Linked DNA regions of Mus musculus. The protein of the gene in region 1 purifies or fractionates together with the protein of each later gene. This does not show direct contact. Links are inferred from orthologs where the notes say so. Each region holds a gene or a part of one and is shown in the gene's direction. Other genes may lie near its edges. The genes, in order: Fus, Khdrbs1, Larp1, Raly, Snrnp200, Hnrnpm and Ctr9.

The links.
Region 2: the proteins of Fus (region 1) and Khdrbs1 purify together in Homo sapiens (affinity purification with mass spectrometry; 3 studies listed by BioGRID and IntAct, with this or other methods). This does not show direct contact. The link is inferred for Mus musculus from reciprocal best matches to the Homo sapiens genes FUS and KHDRBS1.
Region 3: the proteins of Fus (region 1) and Larp1 purify together in Homo sapiens (affinity purification with mass spectrometry; 3 studies listed by BioGRID and IntAct, with this or other methods). This does not show direct contact. The link is inferred for Mus musculus from reciprocal best matches to the Homo sapiens genes FUS and LARP1.
Region 4: the proteins of Fus (region 1) and Raly purify together in Homo sapiens (affinity purification with mass spectrometry; 3 studies listed by BioGRID and IntAct, with this or other methods). This does not show direct contact. The link is inferred for Mus musculus from reciprocal best matches to the Homo sapiens genes FUS and RALY.
Region 5: the proteins of Fus (region 1) and Snrnp200 purify together in Homo sapiens (affinity purification with mass spectrometry; 3 studies listed by BioGRID and IntAct, with this or other methods). This does not show direct contact. The link is inferred for Mus musculus from reciprocal best matches to the Homo sapiens genes FUS and SNRNP200.
Region 6: the proteins of Fus (region 1) and Hnrnpm purify together in Homo sapiens (affinity purification with mass spectrometry; 4 studies listed by BioGRID and IntAct, with this or other methods). This does not show direct contact. The link is inferred for Mus musculus from reciprocal best matches to the Homo sapiens genes FUS and HNRNPM.
Region 7: the proteins of Fus (region 1) and Ctr9 purify together in Homo sapiens (affinity purification with mass spectrometry; 3 studies listed by BioGRID and IntAct, with this or other methods). This does not show direct contact. The link is inferred for Mus musculus from reciprocal best matches to the Homo sapiens genes FUS and CTR9.

The regions. Positions count from the first base shown.
Region 1 is NC_000073.6:127,966,033-127,970,501, forward strand, and holds the start of Fus (RNA-binding protein FUS), read left to right. Parts: upstream 1-1,446; 5' UTR 1,447-1,532; coding exon 1,533-1,545; intron 1,546-3,529; coding exon 3,530-3,554; intron 3,555-3,684; coding exon 3,685-3,839; intron 3,840-4,469. UniProt on the Homo sapiens protein: DNA/RNA-binding protein that plays a role in various cellular processes such as transcription regulation, RNA splicing, RNA transport, DNA repair and damage response. Binds to ssRNA containing the consensus sequence 5'-AGGUAA-3'.
Region 2 is NC_000070.6:129,718,297-129,722,094, reverse strand, and holds part of Khdrbs1 (KH domain-containing, RNA-binding, signal transduction-associated protein 1), read left to right. Parts: intron 1-1,241; coding exon 1,242-1,443; intron 1,444-1,988; coding exon 1,989-2,056; intron 2,057-2,953; coding exon 2,954-3,012; intron 3,013-3,798. UniProt on the Homo sapiens protein: Recruited and tyrosine phosphorylated by several receptor systems, for example the T-cell, leptin and insulin receptors. Once phosphorylated, functions as an adapter protein in signal transduction cascades by binding to SH2 and SH3 domain-containing proteins.
Region 3 is NC_000077.6:58,043,291-58,047,088, forward strand, and holds part of Larp1 (la-related protein 1), read left to right. Parts: intron 1-615; coding exon 616-760; intron 761-3,798. UniProt on the Homo sapiens protein: RNA-binding protein that regulates the translation of specific target mRNA species downstream of the mTORC1 complex, in function of growth signals and nutrient availability.
Region 4 is NC_000068.7:154,860,518-154,864,315, forward strand, and holds part of Raly (RNA-binding protein Raly short isoform), read left to right. Parts: intron 1-1,322; coding exon 1,323-1,489; intron 1,490-3,032; coding exon 3,033-3,146; intron 3,147-3,296; coding exon 3,297-3,532; intron 3,533-3,798. UniProt on the Homo sapiens protein: RNA-binding protein that acts as a transcriptional cofactor for cholesterol biosynthetic genes in the liver. Binds the lipid-responsive non-coding RNA LeXis and is required for LeXis-mediated effect on cholesterogenesis.
Region 5 is NC_000068.7:127,218,246-127,222,043, forward strand, and holds part of Snrnp200 (U5 small nuclear ribonucleoprotein 200 kDa helicase), read left to right. Parts: intron 1-107; coding exon 108-263; intron 264-783; coding exon 784-954; intron 955-3,499; coding exon 3,500-3,693; intron 3,694-3,798. UniProt on the Homo sapiens protein: Catalyzes the ATP-dependent unwinding of U4/U6 RNA duplices, an essential step in the assembly of a catalytically active spliceosome. Plays a role in pre-mRNA splicing as a core component of precatalytic, catalytic and postcatalytic spliceosomal complexes.
Region 6 is NC_000083.6:33,664,956-33,668,753, reverse strand, and holds part of Hnrnpm (heterogeneous nuclear ribonucleoprotein M), read left to right. Parts: intron 1-2,068; coding exon 2,069-2,260; intron 2,261-3,108; coding exon 3,109-3,262; intron 3,263-3,798. UniProt on the Homo sapiens protein: Pre-mRNA binding protein in vivo, binds avidly to poly(G) and poly(U) RNA homopolymers in vitro. Involved in splicing.
Region 7 is NC_000073.6:111,042,204-111,046,001, forward strand, and holds part of Ctr9 (RNA polymerase-associated protein CTR9 homolog), read left to right. Parts: intron 1-612; coding exon 613-720; intron 721-822; coding exon 823-1,059; intron 1,060-1,213; coding exon 1,214-1,303; intron 1,304-1,410; coding exon 1,411-1,539; intron 1,540-1,632; coding exon 1,633-1,816; intron 1,817-3,173; coding exon 3,174-3,262; intron 3,263-3,798. UniProt on the Homo sapiens protein: Component of the PAF1 complex (PAF1C) which has multiple functions during transcription by RNA polymerase II and is implicated in regulation of development and maintenance of embryonic stem cell pluripotency.

The DNA.
Region 1 (4,469 bases):
CCAGAAGAGGGTGACCCCTCTCCTCTTCTGGATCTCGTTATGGATGGTTGTGAGCCACCATGTGGTTGCTGGGATTTGAACTCAGGACCTTCGGAAGAGCAGTCAGTGCTCTTAATCGCTGAGCCCTCTCTCCAACCCGTCATTTTTGTTCTTATCCACTTGGTAAACTCCCAGTAGAAATGTCATTCCCTCAGACCCATCCTAACCTACTCATTGCAAAATGAATTACCTGATCTCTGTGATCCCAGAGTCCCTGGTATTGGAATTACAGTTGGTTGTTTGCCCACATTCGGGTACTAGGAATTGAACCTGTGGTTTCTCTAGAGCAGCTGTCTCTCCAACCCCCTTGAATTTCGTTTTGTCCTTGAACTGACAAAAAGTGTTCATGCCTTTAAATGCTTTCAATCATTTCCTGTAACCAAGAAGCATTTTGTAGTTCCCCAGGCTTAGACTTTAAAGATCAGAAGGTCTGACCCTGAACTGCCTCGTACCTCATTCACATTCTTAGTCTAGCCGCTCACTGCTCTCATAAGATCCATCTCCCCTCCACCTCTGCCTAGCTCCGGGACTGGAGAGGTAGGCAGGGTCATGCACAGGCTAAACGATCGCTCTATCATTAAGCTACATTCCTCAGATTTCTTTACAAGATGATGATGGGGGAAAACCAGGACGACTGTAATTCCAGGATGCACAGGGCTAAGGCAAATAGGATCAAGGATTCGAGATCAACTGAGCGGTACTGAGAGGCCAAATTAAAAAAAAAAAGGGGGGGGGTAATTGTGGGTTTGAAGCCTCTTAAGTTGTATACATATGTGTTATTGTTGAACCAGCCTTAGGGCCATAGGGTCCAGACTAAAGCTCATCTTCTTCCAGGTTAAACGTCACAATCTATAAACCTTGTTAAGGTCTAAAGAACAGCAAGCCGAGGCATTCCTAAGTGAAAAACGAGACTGATCAGTGTGCTGTCTGTCAGGAGAGAATGTGGAGGACCAGAGCGACACTGCGTTCGACTCAGTTGCTAGGCCAGGGCAAGCGAAAGTATGCTGCATCTTCCCCAGTGAAAGTGGGGCCCAGCCGCTGGGCCGGTCGGAAGGATTTCGGTTCCCACACCCGGAGACTCCAGGCCTTGACTACACAGTTCCGCTCTCGGGCGCAGGGCCCTGGCACCGCCCCTAGCGGGAGGCCGGGTCGTACCATTCTGCCTCTAGTGGGGTAGAGGTGTGTCGAAGGCGAGCCCCGGGCGACGGACGAGAGCCACCGGCCGCAAGGAGAAAGCGCGTGCGAGTGTTTGGGAATAAAGCGAGTTCGTTTTCCCTCTTGTCTTCCTGAGCTCTCCGTATCCCCGGGGAAGGGTGGGGACCTGGGCGTGCCTCCCCCTCGCGCTTCTCCACTTGGTACGTCCCGGTGGCGCGTAGGCGGCAGGCGTACTTAAGGCGGGCGCGGGAGGCGGGGCCGCTCAGTCCTCGCGGCATCGCTTCGCGGTCGTCTGGAACTTTGTTGCTTGGCGGCCTGCGCTGCGCGCGTGCGCGGACATGGCTTCAAACGGTATGTGGGAGCGCGAGGCGGCGACGGCGCGTCCCTGCGAGGCCTCGTTCCCTCGCAGCAAGGCTTTTGGCTTTCGGCTGGGCCTGCGGTGGCGGGCGAGTGGGCTCCCCCACCTCTGGCGGGAAGCAGCGGGTGGAGGGAAGGGGAGGGCGGTGTCGCCATTTTGTTTGGCTCCCCTGGCGCCTTTGGCGCGGAGACCGTGGGTTTTCTCTCCTGGCCCGGTCACTTGAGTCGAGTGTTGAGAGAGACGCTGCCTGGCGACGTGGGGTGACCGGGGTGAGGGAGCTCTGGGTCTCCGCAGCTTCGCCCCACCCCCTCCCCTCCCTCCGTTCCCGGCCTCGCTTTGTCGCAGTGCTGCATCCGGGCACTTGGTGCGCGCACGCGCTCCTCTGGCCCCTCCCCCTTCTCGCCGCGGCCCCCCTCCCCCCCGCCAGGAGTTGGTCCGTTTTTTTTACTTTTTTCTTTTTTTCTTTCTTCTTCTTTCTTTCTTTCTTTCTTCTTCTTTTTTTTTTTTTTTTTTTTTTTTTTGTCGCGAGACCCTCGGCGGAAGACTTGTGGTCCGGTGCTGGCCTCGCCCTGCTCGCTGGGTCCCTTGGGAAGGGGCGGGGCCACCTCTTCCCGCCTCCGTGGCCGCGCAGCGGGAGCGGAAGCTCCTGGCTGGCCTGCGTGTCCGTGGGATTGGGAGGACCGCCAGGGGATGACCAACGGAGTCAGGGACCCCGGCCTGAGTTTCCCACTTCAGAGTTGAGTTTTCCTAAGGCCGGAAGGAAATCAGAGGAGTCGCTCTCCGAGGCCACACCCTCTCGCTGTCAGTTTTGTCCCAGTGCGGGGGTAGAGCTTGGGTTTCCTGCAGGGAGCTGCTGAGCTACAGCTTCCCAGATTGTTGAAAGTGCTGTCTGCTTTGGGTGCGCATGGTAGGCGGGAGCTCAGTTATTTGGAGCCACACGTCGGGAACCTTGGGAGCACCATGCCATTTGGGGGTTGGAGAGTCCCATTCTTCTAGCTGCTTCCTTGGGCTTGAACTCAACTGTGTAATAGCGCTGACTGTCAAAGTTAATCTTGACATCCGGTGATACCACCTTTCCTGTATACAGAGCTGCTGTGAAGATATAAAATGTGGTGACGTGTGTTGCAGGCCTTGGAAAGACCTGCAACAAGTCAAAAGGATTTTTAAACTTAAGGGATGATCTGTATTTTGAGTTTTTTTTTTTTTTTTTTTTTTTTTTTAAAGATTGAGCCAGGTTTGGTGGCACACACCTTTAGTTTCAGGACTAAGAGGTAGAAGTAGGCAGATCTATGTGAGTTCGAGGTGGTCTACATATTGAATTCTGGGATAGATACATAATCGAGACTTCTGTCTCAAAAAAGAAAAAAGGCAAAAAGGACATGATGTTGGATTTTTTTTTTTTGTTGTTGTTGTTTTTTTTCGAGACAGGGTTTCTCTGTGTAGCCCTGGCTGTCCTGAAACTCACTCTGTAGATCAGGCTGACCTCGAACTCAGAAATCCATCTGCCTCTGCCTCCCAAGTGCTGGGATTAAAGGCGTGCGCCACCACGCCCGGTCCGATGTGGGGCATCTTTAATCCCAGCATTTGGGAGGCAGAGGCAGATGGAGCTTTGTATGTATTAAATTGGAGGCCATCCCGGTCTACAGAGTGAGTTCTATGCAGAGAAACCCTGCCTCTAGATAGAGAACCAGTCCACCCACAGAGCTCTGTGGCTGTCATGCTTAGTGGTCGCTTGTTTAGTGGGTCCCAAGCAAGCCCTGGGTTCTACCCAGAACAAAAGTCTAAGACTTATTGGTGTCTAGAAATTTGTGCTTTCTTTGCTTTTTGTAATAAAACTTGGCCATTTTGTCTCATGAGGAACTAACTTATGCCTGTTTTTGTAGATTTGTTTCATCTGGAGTGCCTAGTACAAAAGTTGAAGAATTTATTTCTATTCTTAACTAAAATTAAGACCTTTTTCTTTCCCATCTTTTACAGACTATACCCAACAAGCAACTCAAAGGTGAGTATACTGTTTCTGGTCTGATGCTAGAAGACAGCAAGGGTGATTGATCTAACTTGAGTTTTATGTATTTCTGTATGCTTTTGTTCTTATTCTTTTAGTTGAAGATTACTGGTCTGTTTTCTTGTAGCTACGGGGCCTATCCTACCCAGCCTGGGCAGGGCTACTCCCAACAGAGCAGTCAGCCCTATGGCCAACAGAGTTACAGTGGTTATGGCCAGTCAGCTGACACTTCAGGATACGGCCAGAGCAGCTATGGTTCTTCTTATGGACAGACCCAAAACAGTGAGTTCTTAGTAGAACACATCTTCATTTCTTTATGAATGTTAACTTTTCTTAAACCTGAACAATACCGAAATTCCCACATTTTCCCTAAAGTTTTGTAGTCATTCTTTTAAAACAAAAATACTGATTTGTAATTGATTTTATATTGGACTATTTTCTTCCTGCTTACTATTTTTGTGAAAAAGCAAGTTTGCTAAAGAGAGAACCAGTTTAGAATGACGGATAGGAAGGAAATGGTCTGCTTGGGAATTCTTGAAGTTGGCTGACAATCTGTGATTCACAGAGGTGGTGCCATTTTTACCTCACAAGGGCAAAACATTTTTCTTTCCATATCAGCACATTTAAAATGTAGTTAGGGCCAGGAGTGGTGGCACACACAACTTTATCCAGCACTCTGGGAGGCAGAGGCTAGTAGATCTCTTGAATCTTGAGTTGGAGACCAGCCTGGTCTACAAGGTGAGTTCCAGGACAGCCAAGGGCTACACAGAAATCCTGTCTTGAAAAAAACAAAAACAGATTAAAATGCAGTTTGTAGGAATCTTTTGTGTTATGATTAGTGGCACAGGTGTCTAGATTTAGGACAGATAGAATGGAATTGAACCTTTATTAAACAGTGATATTAGTGACATT
Region 2 (3,798 bases), on another chromosome or scaffold:
AAGACAGCTACAGTGTACTTACATATAATAAATAAATCTTAAAAAATAAAAAAGAATATTAATCACCCCTGTCTCAAAAAAACCAAAGTAGATATTAATCACTATGTAGCCCTGCTACGTAGATGAAGCCCATCTGAAACTCAAAAGAGATCCACCTGCTTCTGTCTCCCAAGTGCTGTGATTGAAGTCATAGGCCATCATCAAGCTTGACTATATGATATGCTCTTAGAATTAAAATTCATTGTGGTTAATATTTATTCAGAAAGTAGACCTGTCTGAGGTGCTGTGATCCACGATTGAGCCCAGAGAATCTTCTGGTTTAGGTCCTTAAATGTATATTATTATTTTGAAGTCAGTTTTAGAGTTAGAGATGTGCCACAGTTAATAGAGTGTTAGCCTTGCATGCATGTATCTCTGGGTTTGATCTTAGCACTATGCAAACGCCAGGGTATGGTGACACAATTATAATCCCAGCACCTAGGAAGTGAAGGCAGAAGTACAAGGTCATCCTCGGTTTCGTACTGGGTTCAAGACCAGACTGGATTATGTGAAACCTTGTCAAAAACAGAAAGGAAAAGTAAAAAAGGACAAGCAAGAGATGCAAGCTCTGACTTACCAAGTGTGGCTACAGAGCCATCCTTTAAGGAATTAAAATTAGGGGCTGGAGACATGGCTCAGTGGTTAAGAGCACTGACTGCTCTTTCAGAGGATATCAGTTCAATTCCCGGCAACCACATGGTGGCTCACACACATCTCTAACTCGAGGACCCAACACTCTCTTGTTGACACCTTCTTCTGGCCTTTGTGGGCACAGAGTGTTACATAGACATGTCTGCATGCAAAATATCCATACACTTAGAATAAAAATACTCAAGTGTGCATATATACTGGCACATGCCTTCAATCCCAGCACTCAGGAGGCAGAAACAGGAGGATCTCTGAGTTTGTGGCCAGCAGAGTGAGTTCCACACAGAAACCCTGTCTTGGGGGTAGTGGGAAGAACTTTAAGGTTAACTGGATTTGGTAGCACACAGCTTTAATTTTAATACCTAGTAGAGGCAGTGGCGGGTGGATTTATTTGTATGAGTTCCAGAGCTACACAGGAGGCTTTGTCTCAAGTAAGTAAGTAAATAAGTTGTAAAATGTAAAATCATTCTACCTCCAGAATTTATGAACAATCCTTAGTATGAATGTGGACTAATTATTAAATTCTCAAATTAATGTAAATTTTCTTTTTATAGAGGACGTGGTGTTGGACCACCTAGAGGAGCTTTGGTTCGTGGAACCCCAGTGAGAGGCTCCATCACCAGAGGTGCCACTGTGACTCGAGGAGTGCCACCCCCACCTACTGTGAGGGGTGCTCCAACACCAAGAGCTCGGACAGCTGGGATTCAGAGAATACCTTTGCCTCCCACACCTGCACCAGAAACATACGAAGATTATGTAAGAATTGTTTGAACAATGCACCTTTTCTTCCATACCTAGGTTGCCAGAGAAGTTGAGTGATAAGAGTCTTACCCTTGCATGTAACTAGAAAATTTGGAATCTGCATTCTTAGTCAGTTGATTTTTGAACTATGAGATGATTTTTGTACTATTTTAGGCATTATTACTATGTCTGAATAAGCTAAATAAGAAAGTTGTGGTTTGCTGGGCATGGGAGGCACTTGGGAGGCAGAGGCAGGCGAATTTCTGAGTTTCAGGCCAGCCTGGTCTACAGAGTGAGTTCCAGGACAGCCAGGGCTATACAGAGAAGCCTTGTCTTAAAAAACAAAAACAAAAACAAAAAAAAAAAGAAGTTGTGGGTTCAACATACAGACGTTTACTAAGATTGTAATATTAAAACAACCTTTTGGGTTTTGTATTCACTCCACAGGGGTTATTAGTATTTTTGAGAATTTTCCGTAGCCTGTTCATGCACAAGCCCACGGCCCTGTGGCTGTGATTCTCCTGTTTATGCTTTTCTGACCTTCTTCTTTATTGTTCCAGGGATATGATGATACATACGCAGAACAGAGTTACGAAGGCTATGAAGGCTATTACAGCCAGAGTCAAGGGTGAGTCAGGCAAGAAGTCATGTCTGTATAGTGTCCCAAATGGGTGGTGCATGAAGTTGCAGAGAATAAAGATTTGGCTAAACTCTAACCTAAGGAATAGTGTAACTTAACTTATTAAAAGTATTCCCTATGCTTTTGATGACTTGCAGGCATATTTGTGGGTCTGGGAATTTGGATAACTGGATTTTATGTTAATTGAGGTTTTGAAGCTAGTTGATGAACAGTTCTCGAGCTACAAAGAATCAGAGAAAAATACCATTAAATCATTTTTATTAAGAAATGTCACTCAGGTCTAGAAGGAAGTGGGGCAGTTGGTAGATGCTGCCCCAGCATGCATGAAGTCCTGCATTTCATCTTAGCATGGGATCAAGAGTTCAAGAACATCTTGGCATGCAGGAGGCTTTATCTCCTGACAAATCAGATCACCACCCACCTCACCCACACGGGAGATGAGGTAGAAGCTTAACCTAGGTTTTGTTTTTTTGTTTTGTTTTGTCTTAAAATACAGCTTTGATTTTGTGTATATATGTGTCTTGCCTATGATTGCTTGGAAAAGAATCTCAGACATTTGTGATAGGGACAAAACGACCTTTTCCTCTTCTCCTCTGATGAGCTGTATGAATTTTACATACATGATCATATTTTAAGAATCACAATTTAGGTTGTTATTTTTCCACATTAAATTGTATGATACATGTTTATTGTTTTCCCCCCTTGCTATACTTAATTAGGCTTTTTGGTAAATACATGATTTATACATTTTTTAACTATTGGGGTTAGGAATGGAGCAGAATATATATTTATCCCTATTTTATAGATAATAAACTGTCCGAGATGTGGACTATTGAAAGAATGGTAACAAAAAAAGCCTTTACTGTTTTGTTTTTGTATTTTCAGGGAGTCAGAGTATTATGACTATGGACATGGGGAGCTCCAAGATTCTTACGAAGCCTACGGTGCGTTTCTATGTTTATGGTGGGGTAAATGTGCAGTTAAGTGTCTGGGAAAATATTGGCTGATGGAGTCTTGGGAGTCAGGCGATCACTTCTCTGAGGAGATTCCATTAGAAGACTGCTGAGGTGGTCGATGTCACTTTGGGGTTCTGCTCTCAAATCCTATGGTTTGTGTGTCCTGGAGATTAGGTCTTGCAGTGCCACAATGGTACACTTCCCATGTCTCGCTGACTGGTTTCTGTTAGGTAATGCATGCCTAACTCAGCTGGTGGTGGGCCTTTTGCTACTGATACCCTTGGCCATGTTGGTAGAATTTTTTTTTAAAGATTTATTTACTTATTATATATAAATACACTATGTCTTCAGACACACCAGAAGAGGGAGTCAGATCTCATTACAGATGGTTGTGAGCCACCATCTGGTTGCTGGGATTGGAACTCAGGACCTCTGGAAGAGCAGTCAGTGCTCTTAACTGCTGAGCCATCTCTCCAGCCCAATGTTGATAGATATTAAGAACTTTTTTTTTAAAGCTCTATTCTCTTTCCCCCTTCCTCAATAAAAAGAAAAAAATTGGAACTCTCTGAAAATAATACTGTTGCAAAGAAAATGCCAGCTGAAAGCAGCTTAGTAGAGCCGACAAGTAGGGGAAACAGTACCTGTTGAATTAAATCAGGTTTTCAGGACTGGGGCTGTACTGACTGGTTTTGTGTGTCAATTAACACAGGCTGGTATTACCACAGAGAAAGGAGCTTTGGGAAAGTGCCTCCATGAGACCCAGCTGTAAGGCAT
Region 3 (3,798 bases), on another chromosome or scaffold:
GTCACCGCTAGTGAGTCACAAAGCACAGGCTTAATGCTGTTTCTGTCTGGCTATTATTTTTTGCTCTTATTCATACTGAAGTGCTGGCTCGCAGACCAAAGGAGAACCCATATAAAGAAGCAGGTAGTAGAGTAAGAGGGTTAGTGTTTTAGTAGCAGAATAGTGTTGGACCTGAGTTTCAAAAGAGGATTAGTTTGTTGGGCTCACCTGTGATAGCTGAAAGACTGGGTGATTTGACTCAAAGCAATAGTACATCATTTCTTTTCAGCCTTTAAGCCAGTGATTTTCAAACTTTCTAATGCTGGGACTCTTTAATACAGTTCTTCCTTGTGTTATGGTGACCTCCAACCATAAAATTATTCTTGTTGCTACTTTATAACTGTAGTTTTGCTACTGTTATGAATCATAATGTAAATATTTATGTTCTCTAGTGGTCTTAGGTGACCCGTGTGTAAGGGACACACCCCAGGTGTCACAACCCACAGGTTGAAAGACAGCTGCCTTAAGCTGTCCAGCAGGAGAAGAGTGAAGTCAGGAATGTGAGGTTGTGGGGACGGAGAGGGAGCAGGGAAGGCCCATAGCCCCTCAGTGATGCCTTTTTTCCCCTCCACTTAGTGAATATTACTTCAGCGTGGACAATTTAGAGCGAGACTTCTTCCTGAGACGGAAAATGGATGCTGATGGCTTCCTTCCCATCACCCTTATTGCTTCCTTTCACCGTGTACAGGCCCTAACCACTGACATTTCACTCATCTTTGCGGTATGTCTCTTCCTGGGGATGATGGTGGGAAAATAAGATCCTCATTGTGAGTCCTGAGTTGATGGGTAAACCCTGACAGAGTTCCCACTAACTGTTTCTACTGAGTCCCAAGGTGCCACCATGTTACATACAGCAAGCACCTCACCAACTTCAGCAAGAGTCAGCTATAGCTGATCTGCCTGTGTACCCTTCATCTGCTTTTCCTAGGTCTTCCTAGAGACAATCTAGCTAGCCTTTAGTAGCTACAACATCATTATCACTTCTACAAATAGAACAGGTCTATAACATCATCAGTTACCCCCTTTCAGATTCTCCTCAACTCCTGCTAAATGTTGTTAAAAAGGGGTTTTAAAGATTAGAGTCCAGGGCTGGAGAGGTGGCTCAGTGGTTAAGAGCATGGACTGCTCTTCCAGAGGTCCTGAGTTCAGTTCCCAGCAACTACATGGTGGCTCACAGCCGTCTGTAATGAGATCTGATGCCCTCTTCTGATGTGTCTAAAGACAGCTATGGTGTGTTCATATAAATAAATAAATAAATAAATAAATAAATAAATAAATAAATAAATAAATAAATAAATAAATAAATCTTTTAAGTGCTTTGGAAAAAAAATTAGAGTCCAGATCAGATCTGTGTATTGTCTTGTATTTCCGGCTATCCTTTTATTCTTCCTTGCTAATCATTTGTAGGGTAGACTAGGTCATGTATCCTATACATGCCTACATGTCTCATGGGACAGGTAACATCTCACATGTCTTGAGTTTGGATAACTTAGGGGCATAATGAGATTCAGGGCTTTGTCAATGACATGTGTCTTCTTTGGGGTAGCATATGACAATTATCTCCTGAGATAAAAACTACTGCAGCTATTACAGGGACACTTTTCTTAGGGCTTGCAAAATAGCAGTACTCTAATCCTTCAGTCAACCTTCCCTTAACTTTTGAGGAGAGTTTGAGGAGACCCTTGCTTCTCAGTTGTTCAGTTTACCAGAGGTAGACAAGAGGAAGAACAGGAAGGACGGGTTTATGGGTTTGACCCTGTTCACTCTGTGAACAGTTCATTGAACTCTGAAGTGGTTCCCCAAATCCTTGAAAGGTAACTGGTAGGATTTCAGGACTTTTCTCTTTAGCACTGTATGTTATAAGCAATATAGATTGCCCTGGATACTTTCTCATTTCATTATTGGATCATACTTTGCTTTGCACCCTGCTCCAGGTAGGCTGCCTTTAAAGAAACATTAATTCCTCTTCTGAGTAACTGGTTTGCTATTATTCATACTTGGCTGGTTATCGTTTCTAAGTTGAGTAAAACACTATAGGAGATGGCAATTTTTCTTTTTTAAGAGACAGTTTCTCTTTGAAGCCCTAGTTGTTCTGGAACTTGTTATGCAGATCAGCTTGGCCTGGAACACTTAGAATCCCACCCACCTGGGTCTGCCTCCCAAATGCTGGGTTAAGGGTGTGTACTACCATGCCCAGCTCCCCAACCCCCTTTAAATTCCATGTCCCAGATTGCCAATCCATTTGTTTTAATCTACAGTATATGCAGATTGATTTTTGCTTTCTTTTTGGTAATTTATATATAGTCAGGTGAATGCTACTCCGAGTCATGAGAATATTTTTTTGTGTTACTATTCCTTTAAATTATATGTATTAGTTTTATTTTGGATTCAAGTTTTGAGGATTCTATCAGTCATCATAATTCTAAATTTTTAAAAAATTAAGTAGAACAAATACATGGTTTCAAAGTCTCTACATGGTATATAAGTATTAAAACTGTCATTTTGGGGGAGGGGCATGCCCTCTTAGAGGCAAAGGGAGGTGGGAAAGGAGGTTCAACATTTGGGGTGTAAATAAATAAAATAATTTTTAAAAATTTGTAATTTTTACCCCTTCTGGAATCACCTCAGACAGTCTGCAACCTTTTTTTAAAATTTATATTTACACACACACACACACACACACACACACACACACACACACACACGGATTTTGTTTGTTTGAGACAGGATTTTTCTATTTAGTCCTGGCTCATCTGGAACTGGCCTTGAAGTCACATATATTCCCCTGCCTCTGCCCTAGCCTCTGCTTGCTGAGTACTGGGATTATAGGCGTATACCAACACTGCCTAGCAACACAGATAAATTCTTATTGGTTCTCTACTGGCCTATATTCATCTCCTCCTTTTCTTGCTAAATATGGTGATACATCACACAGGTATTTTACCACTTGTATTGTTTCATTTTATATATCTGGGAGCTAACTGCAAAGTGATGTATAAAATAGATGCATGCTTCCATTCTTTTTAAGTTGAGCAGTGCACCATCCATGGTGTTTCAACCATTTAGATCATGGTTGTTTCCAGGCCTCCTTTACAAGTAAGTAGGGAGGTGGGGGAGAAAAAGGGAAGGGGTTGTCTGTATATATGTCTGTCTGTCAACTCTATGCAGTGCCTGCAGAGGCCATAAGAAGGTAGTGAATTGGACTGGCGAGATGGCTCAGTGGGTAAGAACACCGACTGCTCTTCCTGAGTTCAAGTCCCAGCAATACATGGTGGCTCACAACCATCCATAAAGAAATCTGGCGCCCTCTTCTGGTGTGTCTGAAGTCAGCTACAGTGTACCTATGTATAATAATAAATAAATCTTTTTTTAAAAAAGAGGGTAGTGAATTGCCCCTGGGACTAGAGGTACAGATGGTCTGTGTGATCATGTGGGTTCTGTAAATGGAACCTGAAACTTATGGAAGAGCAGCCAGCTCTCTTAACTGCTTTTTACTAACATGCCGAGAACATATGTCTATAACAGAAGACCTTGTGTATTTAGTTTTCTGTTGGCAAAGATTTTTAGAAAGTAGGGTGGCTGATACAAAGGTGAAACTGCATAGCCCTTTGTAAAGTGTGTCTTGTACACTCTCTCTGCTTCTCTTCCCTGCACAATGCAGGGCACCACATGCTGAGCCTTCCCTTCCCTTCTTTCTCTCAGAAGGTTTCAGAGCTTACATAGAAGATCTTTAAGCTGGGTGTGAGGGCGCTTATAATT
Region 4 (3,798 bases), on another chromosome or scaffold:
GCATCTGCCTGTTGAGTGCAGAGACTACAAGACTAATCACAATACCAGCTCCTGACCAGGTCTTGACTAGAAGTTGTAGTAAAGTTTGAGTCAGACCTCTTCTTCCTTCTTTCTCCCTCAGACAGCCTAGGGAAAAGAATTTTTCTGAACCATTTTCTCTGCTGTGAGTGTTTTCAGTAAATAATGTGGTACAGTGGAAAGTGCTAGAGCCCAGAAGGGAGGAGATTGTATGCTAATCTAAACTCTGCCAGTGAATGGATTATCTGGCTTTTGGCAAATTCCCATTCTACTAGTCAGTAAGACAGGCTTACACCAAGTGACCTCTCAGGATTCCTGTATCTCTGGAATTCTATGGTTCTGTGATTTCTGACCAAGGCCAGAGTCATCACCTCCTCTCGTGGGTCAGGTCAAATGCAGGATCAGGTATTGCATTCATTCCCAGAGACTGATCACCATCTGCCACCAGTTGCAGGACTCTTTGAAAAGAGCACCAAAAAATTGGACTTTTTGAGTTTCATACTGATGGCAGCTACCATGACTAATTCAGAAAATAGTTCCTGACCAAGGCTGTGGTTCCCTTCAGAACCGTGGTAATAGCAGACTTGGTGGGAGAGCTTCCTACTTAGTCTTCTAAGTTTTTGTCTTGTATTCAGAAAAAGTAGCCCTTCTGGAGAGGGCCAGGTTTTGATATTAGCGTGAGAACACACAATCTGGAAGCTTTGGATCTAATTTATATGCCCACCCTTGAAATGCTGTTAAGTTCTTGGCCTGTATCTGAAGAAAAAGTGTGCTGAAGTGGTCCACAGGAAAGAAAGGCCTTAGAGTCTGGAGTCCTGGGCTTCTCTGTTGGGTAATCAGTTCCCTGGTGTCCTGGATTTCACTTGTTAAACCTTCTCAGGTGTTTTTAACCAGGTTCTCATGTTCTACCCTTACTGTACACACAGGTAGACCGTGAATAGCCATCCTCACTAAGTAGTTGGGAAAACCAAGGTTCAGAGGGTGGAAGCTCATGCTGTTGTGAGATTTACAAACTGATGGTGGCAGTTGTGAGTAGAGGGCAGGCCTCAGTGACCTCAGGACAGGCTCCTTTCTGACACTGAGCTGTTTGTTCCTACACCGCTTCTCTTGGCCTGCCTGGGAGTAAGGTGGGAATAGTAAGGATTTCATCAGCCTTCAGGCTCCAGAAAGCCCTTTTCACACCAGGGCTTCTTGGAAGACCATTCCTCCCTGGCCCTCACAGGCTACACAGGTAAAGCTAGTGTTGTAGTGCCTACTGGTAGTCACAGGCCATGCTGCAGCCTCTGGTCTATTTACCTTCACAGGCTGTTTGATTATCGAGGCCGCCTTTCTCCAGTGCCTGTGCCCAGGGCAGTTCCGGTGAAGCGACCCCGTGTTACAGTCCCTTTGGTTCGCCGTGTCAAAACTACGATACCTGTCAAGCTCTTTGCCCGCTCCACAGCTGTCACTACTGGCTCAGCCAAAATCAAGTGTGGGTAACATCTAGTTTTTTATTTTTATCTGTGTATCTCTAGCTGGCCTGGAACTCATGTAAGCCAGACTACCTAAAACTTAGAAAGATTCTTTTGCCTTTGTCTCCTGAGTTCTGGGATTAAAGATGTGCACAACTACATTGTGGTGACATACTTTAATCTTTCTAGATCAGTGGTTTTCAACCTGTGAATTGTTGACTCCTTTGAGGGTTGCATATCCTGCATATCAGATATTTACATTACAGTTCATAATAGTAGCAAAATTACAGGTATAAGGTAGCAATAAAGTAATTTTATGGTTGAGGGTCACTTGCAGCATCAGGAGTCGAGAACCCCTAAGCTAGACGGTTTGGTTTTTACCACCACTAAAATGATAGAATTCCATTTTTAACAATTGATTTTTTTTTAATATTTTATTTTACGCATATGGGTGTTTTGCCTGCATATATGTCTCTGCACCATTTATATGCAGTGCCTGGGAGGCAAGAAGCAGGTGACAAGTCTCCCCTGACTGAAGTTACGGGTAACTTGGGAAACTCAGGTCCTCTATAAGGGCAGCCAGTGCTCTTAGCCACTGAATCACCTCTCCAGGCCCTAGAGTCATGCTCATTGTTGTTGTTGCTTTATTTGTTCATTTGTTTTATTTTTTGAAACATGGTTTCTCGCTGTATCCCTGGCTATCCTGGAACTCACTCTGTAGATCAGGCTGGCCTTGAACTCACAGAGATCTGCCTGCCTCTGCCTCCTGATTGCTGGGATTAAAGACCAGCAAATTCCCTCCACCCCTATGCCCCCAGTAAAGCATACTTTCTTAACATTGAAAAAATAAAGGCTCAGGGCTGATGAGATGGCTCAGCAGAAAAGAACACTGGCTGCTCTTCCAGAGGTTCTGAGTTCAATTTCCAGCAACCACATGATGGATTATGACCAACTATAAAGGGATCGGATGCTCTATATTTGAGTGCAAGTACACATACAGAGCATACTGACATTTAAAAAATACAGAAATAAACTAAAAATAAAATAAAGGAACAAATCCACAGTTGAAGTTACTGCTCTTACACAACTGAGTCCTTTGGAAAAAGTCAAGTGCTGTGGTGTGAGACCCACTGAAGAAATAGCAATGTTTTTTTTTTTTTCTCTAGTAAGGAGAAAGTAAGGGCAGTTTTATTCTGATCTCTGTATACTTCATTAAGGCACCCAGGAAATCTAATTGCAAAAGACCCCCTGTATCTTTAAAAACAGACCCCACCCTATATAACACAGCTAAGACACATGCCATTCCGTAGGTGTTTATAGGAACATCTACCACTTACATTCCTAGTCACCTGTAGTCCCCATAGGATTGAGAGGTCTCAAATGGCCAGGTTCATATGTATGGGCTTGGCACTGTATGGATGGCCTCTCAGTTCTCTGAAGAAGAGACCTTTTCCTGGGCAGAAAAGAACCAGAAAAATAATTGCCACTCTAGTTGACAGAATGAGGCTGGGTTTGTTTGCATCATGCCCCTAAGTGATAATCCTGTCTCCTCTCTATTCTCAGTAAAGAGCAGTGAGCTACAGACCATCAAAACAGAGCTGACACAGATCAAGTCCAACATCGATGCCCTGTTGGGTCGCTTGGAACAGATTGCTGAGGAACAGAAGGCCAACCCAGGTCAGCTTTGAGGGCAGCCCTGGGGAAGACAGTGCCGGAGGGTTAGGGGCCGTGAGATCCTGCTGTGGAGTGGCCAGCTCTCACCGAGGTGTGCTAAGTAGGCTGCCCCAGCTGAAGTTTGTCCCTTTCCCACTTCTTTTATCCTTCAAGATGGCAAGAAGAAGGGTGACAGCAGCAGTGGTGGAGGAGGAGGCAGCAGTGGTGGAGGCGGCAGTAGCAATGTTGGTGGTGGCAGCAGCGGCGGCAGCGGGAGCTGCAGCAGCAGCAGCCGGCTACCAGCGCCCCAAGAAGACACGGCTTCTGAGGCAGGCACACCCCAAGGAGAAGTCCAAACTCGAGATGATGGTGATGAGGAGGGACTGCTAACACATAGCGAGGAGGAGCTGGTAAGGGTCTGGCTACGTGTGTGTGTGACCTGGAAGGGCTGGGCTGTCAAAATGGCGACAGTAGAAGAACCAGAACTGGCTGCTCCGTGTGAGCTCCCTCCTTTCTGCTTTCTAGAGCCTCAGTCCTGTGAGGAGTAGGCAAGAATGAGCTGAGTGTAGTTCACTGTTTGAGTCGCTGATATGAAGCCCCACTGAAGACAGAGCTTGGCAAAGCTAGGGGTGTATTGAAGAGGAGGAGAATTGGGCCTAGGAGGTACACAACACAT
Region 5 (3,798 bases), on another chromosome or scaffold:
GATGGACAACCCACTGGGGCAGTGTTACTTGGGGCAGTCCCAGGGTCAGTTCTGTTTTGGTGGTAGCCCATAGCAGATGAAGAGGCTTTGTCTCTGCCCCCGTCTAGGGTGCGGGCAAGACCAACGTGGCCCTGATGTGTATGCTCCGAGAGATAGGGAAACACATCAACATGGACGGCACAATCAATGTGGATGACTTCAAGATCATCTACATAGCTCCCATGCGGTCCCTGGTCCAGGAGATGGTGGGCAGTTTTGGAAAGGTAAGTCGTATAACTTCTCCAGAAGATACTAACTGCAGCTGGTCATGTGCTAGGGAGGGGCCTATGCATTACTGCTTCTTTTGTTAGGGAAACTCTAGATATTTTTTGCCATTTCCAAGGTAGAATTTGACCCAAGTAATTTCTGAGGCAAAATTGTCTTGACCTGACTTACATGGACACCATCTTTGTTGTATTTTCTTAATGGACTCACTGCATCTTACAATATTTATGTGGAATGAATATGGTTTATAGCTTGTGGGTTTTTACCCCAGTTCCACTTTCCTGCTTCATGAAGGGCTTCCATAGATCCTTTGCCTCTACCCGAGTGGGATTTAAGTAACATTTGTTCATCTTTCCTGACTCACCAGATACTTAACTTCTCCTTGTCCACAGCACAGAAATGGCTGCCAGGCCCTTCAGGCACCGTCTACCATTCTTAGACGTTAGGCAGGCTCCCTGCCACTGAGCTGCATCTCCAGCCCCATCACTCAGTATTGCTGATGATGATTTCTTTCCCCAGCGCCTGGCCACATATGGCATCACTGTTGCTGAGCTGACTGGGGATCACCAGCTATGCAAGGAGGAAATCAGTGCCACACAGATTATCGTCTGCACCCCTGAGAAGTGGGACATCATCACACGCAAGGGCGGGGAGCGCACCTACACCCAGCTGGTGCGACTCATTGTCTTGGTGAGTGGGAGAGAGTGGGAAGGAAAAAACAACTGTGTCAAGGAGTGTTTGGCACTCTAGTTGGTGGCATGAACTTGGGAGAGTGGGGCCTAAATACGAGTCAGACTAAAGTCCCATGCACTAGCCAGCTTTATTCATTCAGACAATTTATACTCTGAGGGTTAACAAGAAGCACATGACTAAGGTGTTCAGTTGCAAGGACAAGGCCACACATGGCCAAACATGTTTTTCTAGAGAGGCATATGAATAACAATAGTGATATAAACTCACTTCTATACCCCACACCTGGGAGGAGCATGGAAACATGTTCCAGGAGTGACGATCATAAGACTCTGGTCATTTTTTTCTTGGAGTTTTCTCACAAGCACCCAAAATCCACACATGACTATTCTTGGACTGTGTTAGGACCAGGGAGCATTGGATTGCCTGTGTTTACTGGTTCTGTTCTTTTTTTGTTCCTTTTTTTTCCCCTATCCTTCTCCCTCTTGTTCCAGCCCCACTTGTTCTGGCTCCGCTTGCTCCAGCCCATAGGATTTTTATTTGTTTCTCATTATGGATGACTGTGAGCCACCATGTGGTTGCTGGGATTTAAACTCATGATCTCCGGAAGAGCAGTCAGTGCTCTTAACTGCTGAGCCATCTCAGCAGCCCCTAGTTCTGTTTCTTTTTTTTTTTTTTTTTTTTTTTAAGATTTATTTATTATATGTAAGTATACTGTAGCTGTCTTCAGACACACCAGAAAAGGGAGTCAGATCTCATTACAGATGGTTGTGAGCCACCATTGAACTCAGGACCTTTGGAAGAGCAGTCGGGTGCTCTTACCTGCTGAGCCATCTCACCAGCCCCCTAGTTCTGTTTCTTAATGCCTTTCTTTTCTTTTCTTTTCTTTTCTTTTCTTTTCTTTTCTTTTCTTTTTGGTTTTGATTTTCTATTTTGAGACAGAGTTTCTTTGTATAACCATGACTGTTGTGGAATTCTCTTTGTAGACCAGGCTGGCCTTGAACTCACAGAGATCCACCTGCCTCTGCCTCCTGAGTGCTGGGATTAAAAAGTGTGTGCCACCATGCCTAGCTTTCCTTAAGGCTCTTCTACGTGCATTTTCTTCATAAGAGTCACTGTGAGCTTTGCTGTTGCCATTAAAACCATAATCTGTATGTAACGGAAGCCTCTTAGACATGCATGCTGTTTGCCACATGCCCCATTGCTTTCTATATCTGATTTTTTTTTTTTTTTAATTTGGCTTTTGGGAAAGACTCTCTATGTAGTCCTGGTTATCTTGGAACTTGTTCTATAGAATATGAAATATTTTGAATCAAATGAAAACACACAAAAATAATTTTGTCCTCCAAGACGATAGAAATGTTTCTTTATAAAATAATCCATTGTCACAAAGGATAAGTAAGGAATTGGGACTTTGCATTCCCTTTACATAGAAGTATCTACAGGGAGTGGACTTTGAGCCTGACGGTTGAATCTGTTTTGTTGTTTTTGCTTTTTGTAATTAATTGCATGTGTTTATTTTCTGTGATGTTGCATGGTGTGTGTGTGTGTGTGTGTGTGTGTGTGTGTGTGTAGGTCAGAGGAAAACTTGTGGATGTCAGTTCCCCTTCCACCATGCGTGTCCTCTATGAATCAAGCTCAAGCCGTCAGGGTTGGCAGCCAAGTCCCTTTACTCTTTGAGCAGTCTCCCTGGCCTCCAGCTTGATTCTTTAAGCTGTCTAAGAAAGCAGGAAAGTAGTTCATAGTCTGTGTTCAAAGTGGAAGTTGGCAAAACTATAGCTATAAGTTTTTCTTTTAATGAACACAGTTATATAGATTGGTTTATGCACTTCTTATAGCTATTATTGTCCTGCTGTGGCTGTGGCAGAACTGAGTTGTTTTTTTGTTTTTTTAAGATTTATTTATTATCATAAGTACGCTGTAGCTGTCTTCAGATGTACCAGAAAAGGGTATCATCAGATCTCAGTATGGGTGGTTGTGAGCCACCATGTGGTTGCTGAGATTTGAACTCAGTACCTTTGGAAGAGCAGACAGTGGTCTTAACTGCTGAGCCATCTTGACAGCCCAGAACTGAGTATTTTTTAACAAGGGTTACATGGCTCACTAGCCTACAGTATTGCGTGTGTGGTACCAGATGTTCAGCCCTTGAAGAAAAGGTTGCTCACCTCTTTTTTAGAGCCTTGCTCTCTGACAGCCGCTCCTACGGGTGCTGAGTCCCTGGCCTGCCCACAGTATCCGCAGTTCTCCCAGTGCTTACTGTATCTCAGAAGCACTGCTGTTGGCGGTGTAAACTTACTGTGCGTAAAGCCCACAAGGGAAGGCTTCTTTGCTCTAACCTGGTCAGAACCGTCATGTATTTGTAAGGAGATTTGTGGTATCATCAAAGGACTCACTCACAAGTGTTAAACAGTCCACACTCAGTGTATATTTCTACTAAAAGCTGTCTTTGTTCTTTAGGATTCCTTGGCTTAAGGGTCCCTCTCTTGTCTTTACTCGGCATGTTAAGACTGTATACTTGTACAGTTTGCATCTTTCTGTTCTTTAGGATGAGATCCATCTTCTACATGATGACAGAGGTCCTGTCTTAGAAGCTTTGGTGGCCAGGGCCATCCGAAACATTGAGATGACCCAAGAAGATGTCCGACTCATTGGTCTCAGTGCTACCCTCCCCAACTATGAAGATGTGGCCACCTTTCTGCGAGTCGACCCTGCTAAGGGCCTCTTCTACTTTGATAACAGGTATAAAAAGAAACTGGAAACTTGTTACCCAGGCAGTCTTCCTGTTCCCTACTCTTCTCTAAGGAGCATACTATTGAGTTTTAGGGTTCCTGTGTGTATTTTAGA
Region 6 (3,798 bases), on another chromosome or scaffold:
TTGACCTTGATCTTTCTTTCTTTGTCTTTTAATTGCTATGTACTCAGTCTGATGTTTTAATAGAAGATAGTGACTTTGTAATAGCAGATCCTGAGTAACCTGAGCTGACCACTCTTCAATCCTTGCTGTCTTAGAAATACAAAACCTGAGCCTCTGGATTTTAGAATTGGAATTGTGTTAGGAAGTCTTTATATCCACCAACCAGAACACTATTCTCTTTTGTTGCCCATCTGTTTTGTTGTTGTTGTTGTTTCTGGTGGTCTCAGCTTCCTAAGTGTTATGATTGCAGTGATGTGTCACTGAACACCTGCCTCTTTATTTTTGTCTATGTAGTATGTACCTATGTGTACACATGTGTGTACAGGTGGCCATGCTAGTAGTGAATGTTTTTCTTCCTCAGTCTCTCTACCTTAGATTTTGAGATAGGTGCTTTCACTAAACCTGGCCTCACTGTTGAAGCTAGACTGGTGGGCCAGTGGATTGCTTTCCCATTCCCTTCCTAGATGTGCGTGCCCCACAACCCCAGCTTTTTTTTTTTCCCCCCTTGGGTGACTGAGGATCTGAGCTCGGGTATTAATGCTTATTTATTTACCTGCTGAGCCATCTTATCCCTCTTTGAATTTTATAAAATGAATGTATTCATCTTTATTAAATCCAAACCATGGGGTTTTTATTTGTTTCATTGTTTGTTTTTGTGGTGGTGGCGGAAAAGATTGAACCCAGGGCTTTGTGCCTACAAGATTGCCACTATACTTTTTTTTTCTATAGAAGGATATTTTATTAACTGCCAAATATTATTTGCCTCCTTGACTGTGTGTGTATTTGGGGAACAGTGTTAAAATATCTGAAATTAGTTCTTTGCTGTGTATCCCAGGGTAATTTATAACTCATGATCCTCCTGCCTTAGCTGCCTGAGTGTGTAGATTAAAGGCAGCTCTTTTAGACCTTTTCCTTTTGGAAGAATACAGCATATTTGAGACTCTGAGGAAAGCATGGTCAGGTATAAGTCAGTTCTTACGTGTTAATGGTAAATTGAAGAGGCAGGCTTCAGGAATTGGGTCACGCTGTAAAGATGGCTCAGTGGTTGGGAGTGCTTTTTGCTTTTCCAGAGAGGATCTGCATTTGATTTCCAGCACTCAAGCAGGAAATACACAGTGCACGTACATGTGCTGTATACCTCTATATGGACACATAGACACAGATAAGAGTAAGATAGATAGTCATGCCAGCATCAAATTTCCATAAGTCTGTTCAGGTACTGATACACAGCATTGACTGTACTTGAATGCCAACACTGGTGCCCTTGAAGGGTTTAGGGAACCTTGGATTATAGAATGATGATTTAAGACTTTGTGAAAAATCATTGATGAGTTTTACATAAGTAACACTAATTAGTAAGAGTCATGCCCATGAAGATCTTGTTTCAATCTGGCATTTTTAACTCTGGTCAGCCAATCCTTTATCCCTTACCCGTTCATTTTAGTTAAAATTGAAGATTGTTTTTAGATTTTTAGTTTTATGCTTTTTGTTTCTGAACTGTTGCTCTTCCTAGAACTCTTCTTGTTGCTGTGGTTTATTTCATTTGTTAATAATTAGAGAAATACCTTTCAAACTGTCTGTTGGTCTGCAGATTTTTGTTTGCTTTTTTTGGTGTTGGTAATGGGAGTGGCTGGTGTATACTGTGCCGTATGATAAGGTCTGCCACTCTAAGTCGTATCCAAAGACAGACTTCGAGTACACAGCAAGAGGTACCAGACTGGACTGTGACAGAGCCCTCCCTGAAGCTTTTTACTTCAGCTTTGACCTTGAGCTGCTGTAGCAATCCTGAGAATTAAGGTTACAGACCTTTACCACCACTGCTACTGTGCTTTACTGGGAGCCTTTTTTATTTTATTTGTTTAATGATTGGGGGTAGGGATTGTACTTAGGAATACTAGGCAGAAACTCTATCACTGAGCTGCACCTCAGCAGACGAGAGCCTCTGTAGTGGTGAAGGCAGCAGTTCCACTAGTTTCTGCAAGCCTACTTCTGACCTACTTCTAGCTGTAACGCTTTATGCTTTTTTCAGGATCCTGATGGTGAACATGCAAGGAGAGCAATGCAAAAGGTGATGGCTACGACTGGTGGGATGGGTATGGGACCAGGTGGCCCAGGAATGATTAATATCCCACCCAGTATCCTAAATAATCCTAACATCCCAAATGAGATTATCCATGCATTACAGGCTGGAAGACTTGGAAGCACAGTATTTGTAGCAAATGTAAGTAAATGGGAACATTCTCTAAAATAGAAAAATAGGGAGGGACGGAAATAATGTGAAAATAGTGTGCATTTAATTTTAAATAAAATGAAAACAAATTAGAAAAATGTACAAAACACTTTATATTGATTGTATCACTGTTATACGAGTAATTTAAGTTAGACTTATGGTAGATAGCTTGTTTTCATTTTAAGTAGGCCTTCTACTTTGTTCTTGTGACCACTGCATTTGTGGCTTCAGGATTCACCTCAGTCCTATTAGGGTCTTGTTTCCTAAGGCTTTCTGATGCTACAGAGGCAGTAGCTGGGTACGCGTCCTTAATTGGGGTTTATTTAGGTAAAGGGAAGAATGGATAGACCATCAATATTTTCACATTTTTTTTGTATCTAGAGTAAATGGTGATATTTTTATTCTCTGCAAGGACAAATACTTTTAGAACTGAGTGGGTTCACAAGTTAAAAGGGGGGAAAGACTTAAAAGGAGAGTGACTTTTTGGGATTTTCAAGACAGTTTCTCAGTGGTGTTGCATTGGTGGGCCTTTGGCTCAAGAGATCTACCTGCCTTTGCCTTCTCTGTGCTGAGATTAAAGGCAGGTACCACCACCATCCTGCTGACTTTTTTAAGTATGAGGGGGAAAGCTTGTTAAATGTGAGGAGACTTATTCTGTTCCATTTAAGAAGAGAGGCAATAAATAGCAGAGTTAAGGCCCAGTTTTGCAGTCCTATTTAAAAATTCAACTGAAGTTAATTTTCTTGTAAAGTCAGTCAAAGCAATCTTAATATAGTAAAAGTGTGTCTTTTTCCCCAGAGAAGTTTACCTTGAAGTTTTCACCTTCTTCTTTCACCTAGCTGGATTATAAAGTTGGCTGGAAGAAACTGAAGGAAGTATTTAGTATGGCTGGTGTGGTGGTCCGAGCAGACATTCTGGAAGATAAAGATGGGAAAAGTCGTGGAATAGGCATTGTGACTTTTGAACAGTCCATTGAAGCTGTGCAAGCAATATGTATCCTTTTGTGGGAATTCAGCTCATGGCAAACAGTGCCCCCAGCACTGTTAGGCAATAGCATACCTAGGTATATTACGACAACAAGGTAGAAGTAACTATTTTCTCTGTGACTAGAGTAAATAGATTACTATGGAATCTGAAATTTTTCTGGAGTAGAACACAGATGGATAAAAGGTGTGGTTGTATCATAGACACATGCTATGAATGGTCTTTTCTTTTCAGAGGAGTTTAGGAAATAAACCATTTATGAGAACTGAGGGTTTTTCTTTTTTTCTTTTTCTTTTTGGTTTTTTTTTTCCAGACAGGGTTTCTGTGTGTAGCACTGGCTGTCCTAGAACTCACTCTGTAGACCAGGCTGGCCTCGAACTCAGAAATTCGCCTGTCTCTGCCTCCCAAGTGCTGGGATCAAAGGCGTGCGCCACCACGCCCGGTAGAACTGAGGCTTTTATTTCTTTATAATATATCCTTATGGACTCTGTCTGTTGTAGAGAGACGTTGTTTGAAGAGATCCCTTTCCTTGCTGTAGGCTTGCC
Region 7 (3,798 bases), about 17 Mb from region 1:
GGGATGAGAAGAGAGCATTGGATCCCCTGGAACTGGGGTTACAGAGGATTGTGTGAGCCACCATGTAGGTGCTGAGAACCGAACCTGGGTCTTCTGCAGGAGCAGCAGCTCTTGACTGCTGGGTCACTTCTTTAATCCCTCTCCCATGATTTTTTGGGATGGTATCTCTCTGACTCTAGAGCTCATTGATTCAGGTAAAGCGAGTGCCCATTGAGCTCTCCCTTCCCTGCCTCCCATACTGAGCTCACAGACGCATGGCCAATCTTGCGTGAGTAGTGGGGACCTGCACACAAGTCCTCATGACTGCCAAGCTCTTTCTAACTGAGCCGTCTGTCTAGCCTCTGCCCAGTTTCTTGATGAGTAAATTGAGGCAGGTTACAAGCTTAGAGCTTGATGCTGCATCATTCTTGATTGCTGCTTGTTACAGTTATGATCATTACACACATTATTATATCACATAGTTATTATTTATTGAGGTTAACTGTTACAGTGCTAAAGTTCAACTATTTAGGGAGAAGATGAAAATATACCTTATAGCTAAATGAAATGTTACCAATTACTAGTCAAGCAACCTTCTGACATCACTCAACTTTTTTCCGGTATCAAATTCAGGATTATAGTAAAGTGCAGCACCTGGCTCTCCACGCATTCCACAACACCGAGGTGGAGGCTATGCAAGCAGAAAGCTGTTACCAGCTGGCTCGGTCCTTCCATGTTCAGGTGAGACCATTGTCACCTTCCTAAGTAGTCCTTAACTTAGAGGGTTTCAGGCTTCTGGCCACTTTGACGTGTTGTTGGTCTTGTCTTATTCTCATTTCTCAGGAAGATTATGACCAAGCCTTTCAGTACTACTATCAAGCCACACAGTTTGCTTCATCTTCCTTTGTCCTACCATTTTTTGGTTTGGGACAAATGTATATTTATCGAGGTGACAAAGAGAATGCATCTCAGTGCTTTGAGAAAGTTTTGAAAGCTTATCCGAACAATTATGAAACTATGAAAATTCTTGGCTCTCTCTATGCTGCTTCAGAAGATCAGGAGAAACGAGACATAGCCAAGGTGTGTTCTAAGTCTTAGGTACCCTGAGACTCCAGCTGTGGCTAGCACAGCTGTGAGCAGTATATGGGGCTTCTTACGCAGCTTACGGTAGCCATGTTTAAGGTTGTCATTGCTTACTTTGACAGTGTTATTTTAATGATCTCATTTATCCCAGGGCCATTTGAAGAAGGTCACAGAACAGTATCCTGATGACGTGGAAGCTTGGATTGAGTTGGCCCAGATCTTAGAACAGACTGACATACAGGTATTAATGTCTGCTCTTTATATCCTAAATGATGTGTTTTAATAAGCTGGTGTAGGGTTTCTCTTTGATCTGTGAGTAAATCTTACTCTGTCTACGGTCAAATGCAGGGTGCCCTTTCAGCTTATGGAACAGCCACACGCATCCTGCAGGAGAAAGTGCAGGCCGATGTCCCTCCCGAGATTTTGAATAATGTTGGGGCCCTCCATTTTAGACTCGGAAACCTGGGGGAAGCAAAGGTAAAGAAACAAAACCTTCCTTTTTTCTATGCTTGACCAAGCTGCAGGCACTTGCTCAGCTGTATCCATAACAGTGCCTTTTCTTCCTCACAGAAATACTTCCTGGCCTCACTGGACCGCGCAAAGGCAGAGGCCGAGCATGATGAACACTACTACAATGCCATCTCTGTCACCACATCCTACAATTTAGCCAGGCTCTATGAGGCCATGTGTGAATTTCACGAAGCAGAGAAACTGTACAAAAACATTTTACGAGAGCATCCTAACTACGTTGATTGTAAGAATTTTAGGCTTTTTTGGGGGGGAGAGAATGAGAATGAGAGAGATTATTCCTAAGTTCCCATAATAACAGTAAAAACTTTTTAGGAACGAAAGTCTTTGTTAAAGATGCAGTCTGGAGTGGTAGCACTCTTCTGTCATCCTAGTACTCGAGAGGTAGATGCAGAATGGATCAAGAGTTCAAGGCCAGCCTCCCTACCTAGCAGGTTTGAGGTCACCCTGGCCGTGTATGAGGCCCTGTCTCAGAAACTGAAGTAAGGGGCTCAGGAGATGACTCAGCAGTTAAGGGCACTAGCCATTCTTCCAAAGGATCCAGGTTCAATTCCAGGCACCCACATAGCGGTTCACAACTGTTTGTAACTCCAGTTCTAAGGGACCTGACTCACTCACACAGACATACATACATGCAGGCAAAACACCAATACTCATTTTAAAAAAAAATGAAATAAAACTAACATTGCAGTTTCATTTACTTATGCTGGGAATTACAAGGATCAACAAGAGTCACTTGAGTTGTGCTCAGTAGCTGTGAGTCTGCTGCTGCCGGGCTGCTGCAGGCGAGCTTCACTAGTTAGTGGGCGTCATCTGCAAGCGCTCTTCCTTCACTAGAGGGTTTTGTTTTTGTTTGTTTGTTTTTTTCTTGAAACAATTATTACTAAAATGTCCTAGTTTGAGTTTTTACATCCAAGGCCCTGTAAATGATTGGCATTTCAAAACTAATGTGTGTTCTCTGTGGCAGTTTCTTCTCTCCTGGGCTTCACTCTCTGTAGTTTCATTTGCCTACACTCAGCTCTGCTCTCAAAATAGTAGATGAAAAAATTCTATACATAATTCCTAAATTTCAAATTGTGGACCGTCCTGCATGTGGTGCTGAGACCTCATGGCTCTCCACTCCAGCCAGCCCAGGATGTGCGTTGTCCCAGTACTGTCAGTTGCTGAGCAGTCATTTCAGAGAGCAGCTTGACTGTGGGGTACCAGAATTTGTGTGCAGTGATCCTTACAGTATTTTATAGTGATCCAGCCACATATCTTTAATCCCAGCACTCCAGAGGCAAAAGCATGGGGGTCTCTGAGCTCCAGGCCATCTTGGGCTACATAGTGAATCACAGGCCAGCCAAAGCTCAAGCATAGTAAGACCAGGGTCAAAATAGAAAAGAAAAAAAGAAAAAGAAAGAAAGAGCGACCTAGTGGTGCAGTTTTTCTTTCTCCTAGCTAGAGTGATGTGTCTCCATGTGTGGGGCTTTTCTCTTCTCTCTGAAAGTATTAACAAAATTCAGCTGTTCCAAATGTCAGACTTCAGTGTTAGGACCCGTTAGACATGAGATTGTGAAAATGAATTAAACGTGCACTTTCAGGCTATCTACGCCTAGGAGCCATGGCCAGAGATAAAGGAAACTTCTATGAAGCTTCAGACTGGTTTAAGGAAGCCCTTCAGATCAATCAGGTTAGTGGTATTGACTTGGTTTCAGAAATCTTCTTCTTTTACCTTTCAAAATCAGTCTGTCAGTTCAGTGGCTGTGATGTTTCCCGTAACCATGGCATCTCTGGGTTTAGTGGCTTGTTTTATCTTTGTCTCACTTGTTAAAGACTTTAAAGAGAATAATAGTTTGTATGATTAGTCATCTCATAATCAGAATCTTTTTTTTAAGTATATAAAACTATTTCCCTTCTATTTTTCTCTTCCTTGTCTGCCTCCTGTCTCCTGTACTCAGCCCGGTAGCCTGCTGAGAACAACTTCCAGAGTCAGTGTCTTAGCATTTGTAGGTTATCTGAGTTTCTGATCGTGGCTCACAGTAAGAAGGCTACACATTAAAAGACAGCTTTGCCGGGCGTGGTGGCACACGCCTTTAATCCCAGCACTTGGGAGGCAGAGGCAGACAAGATTTCTGAGTTCGAGGCCAGCCTGGTCTACAGATCGAGTTCCAGGACAGCCAGGACTACACAGAGAAACCCTGTCTCAAAAAACCAAAAAAAAAAAAG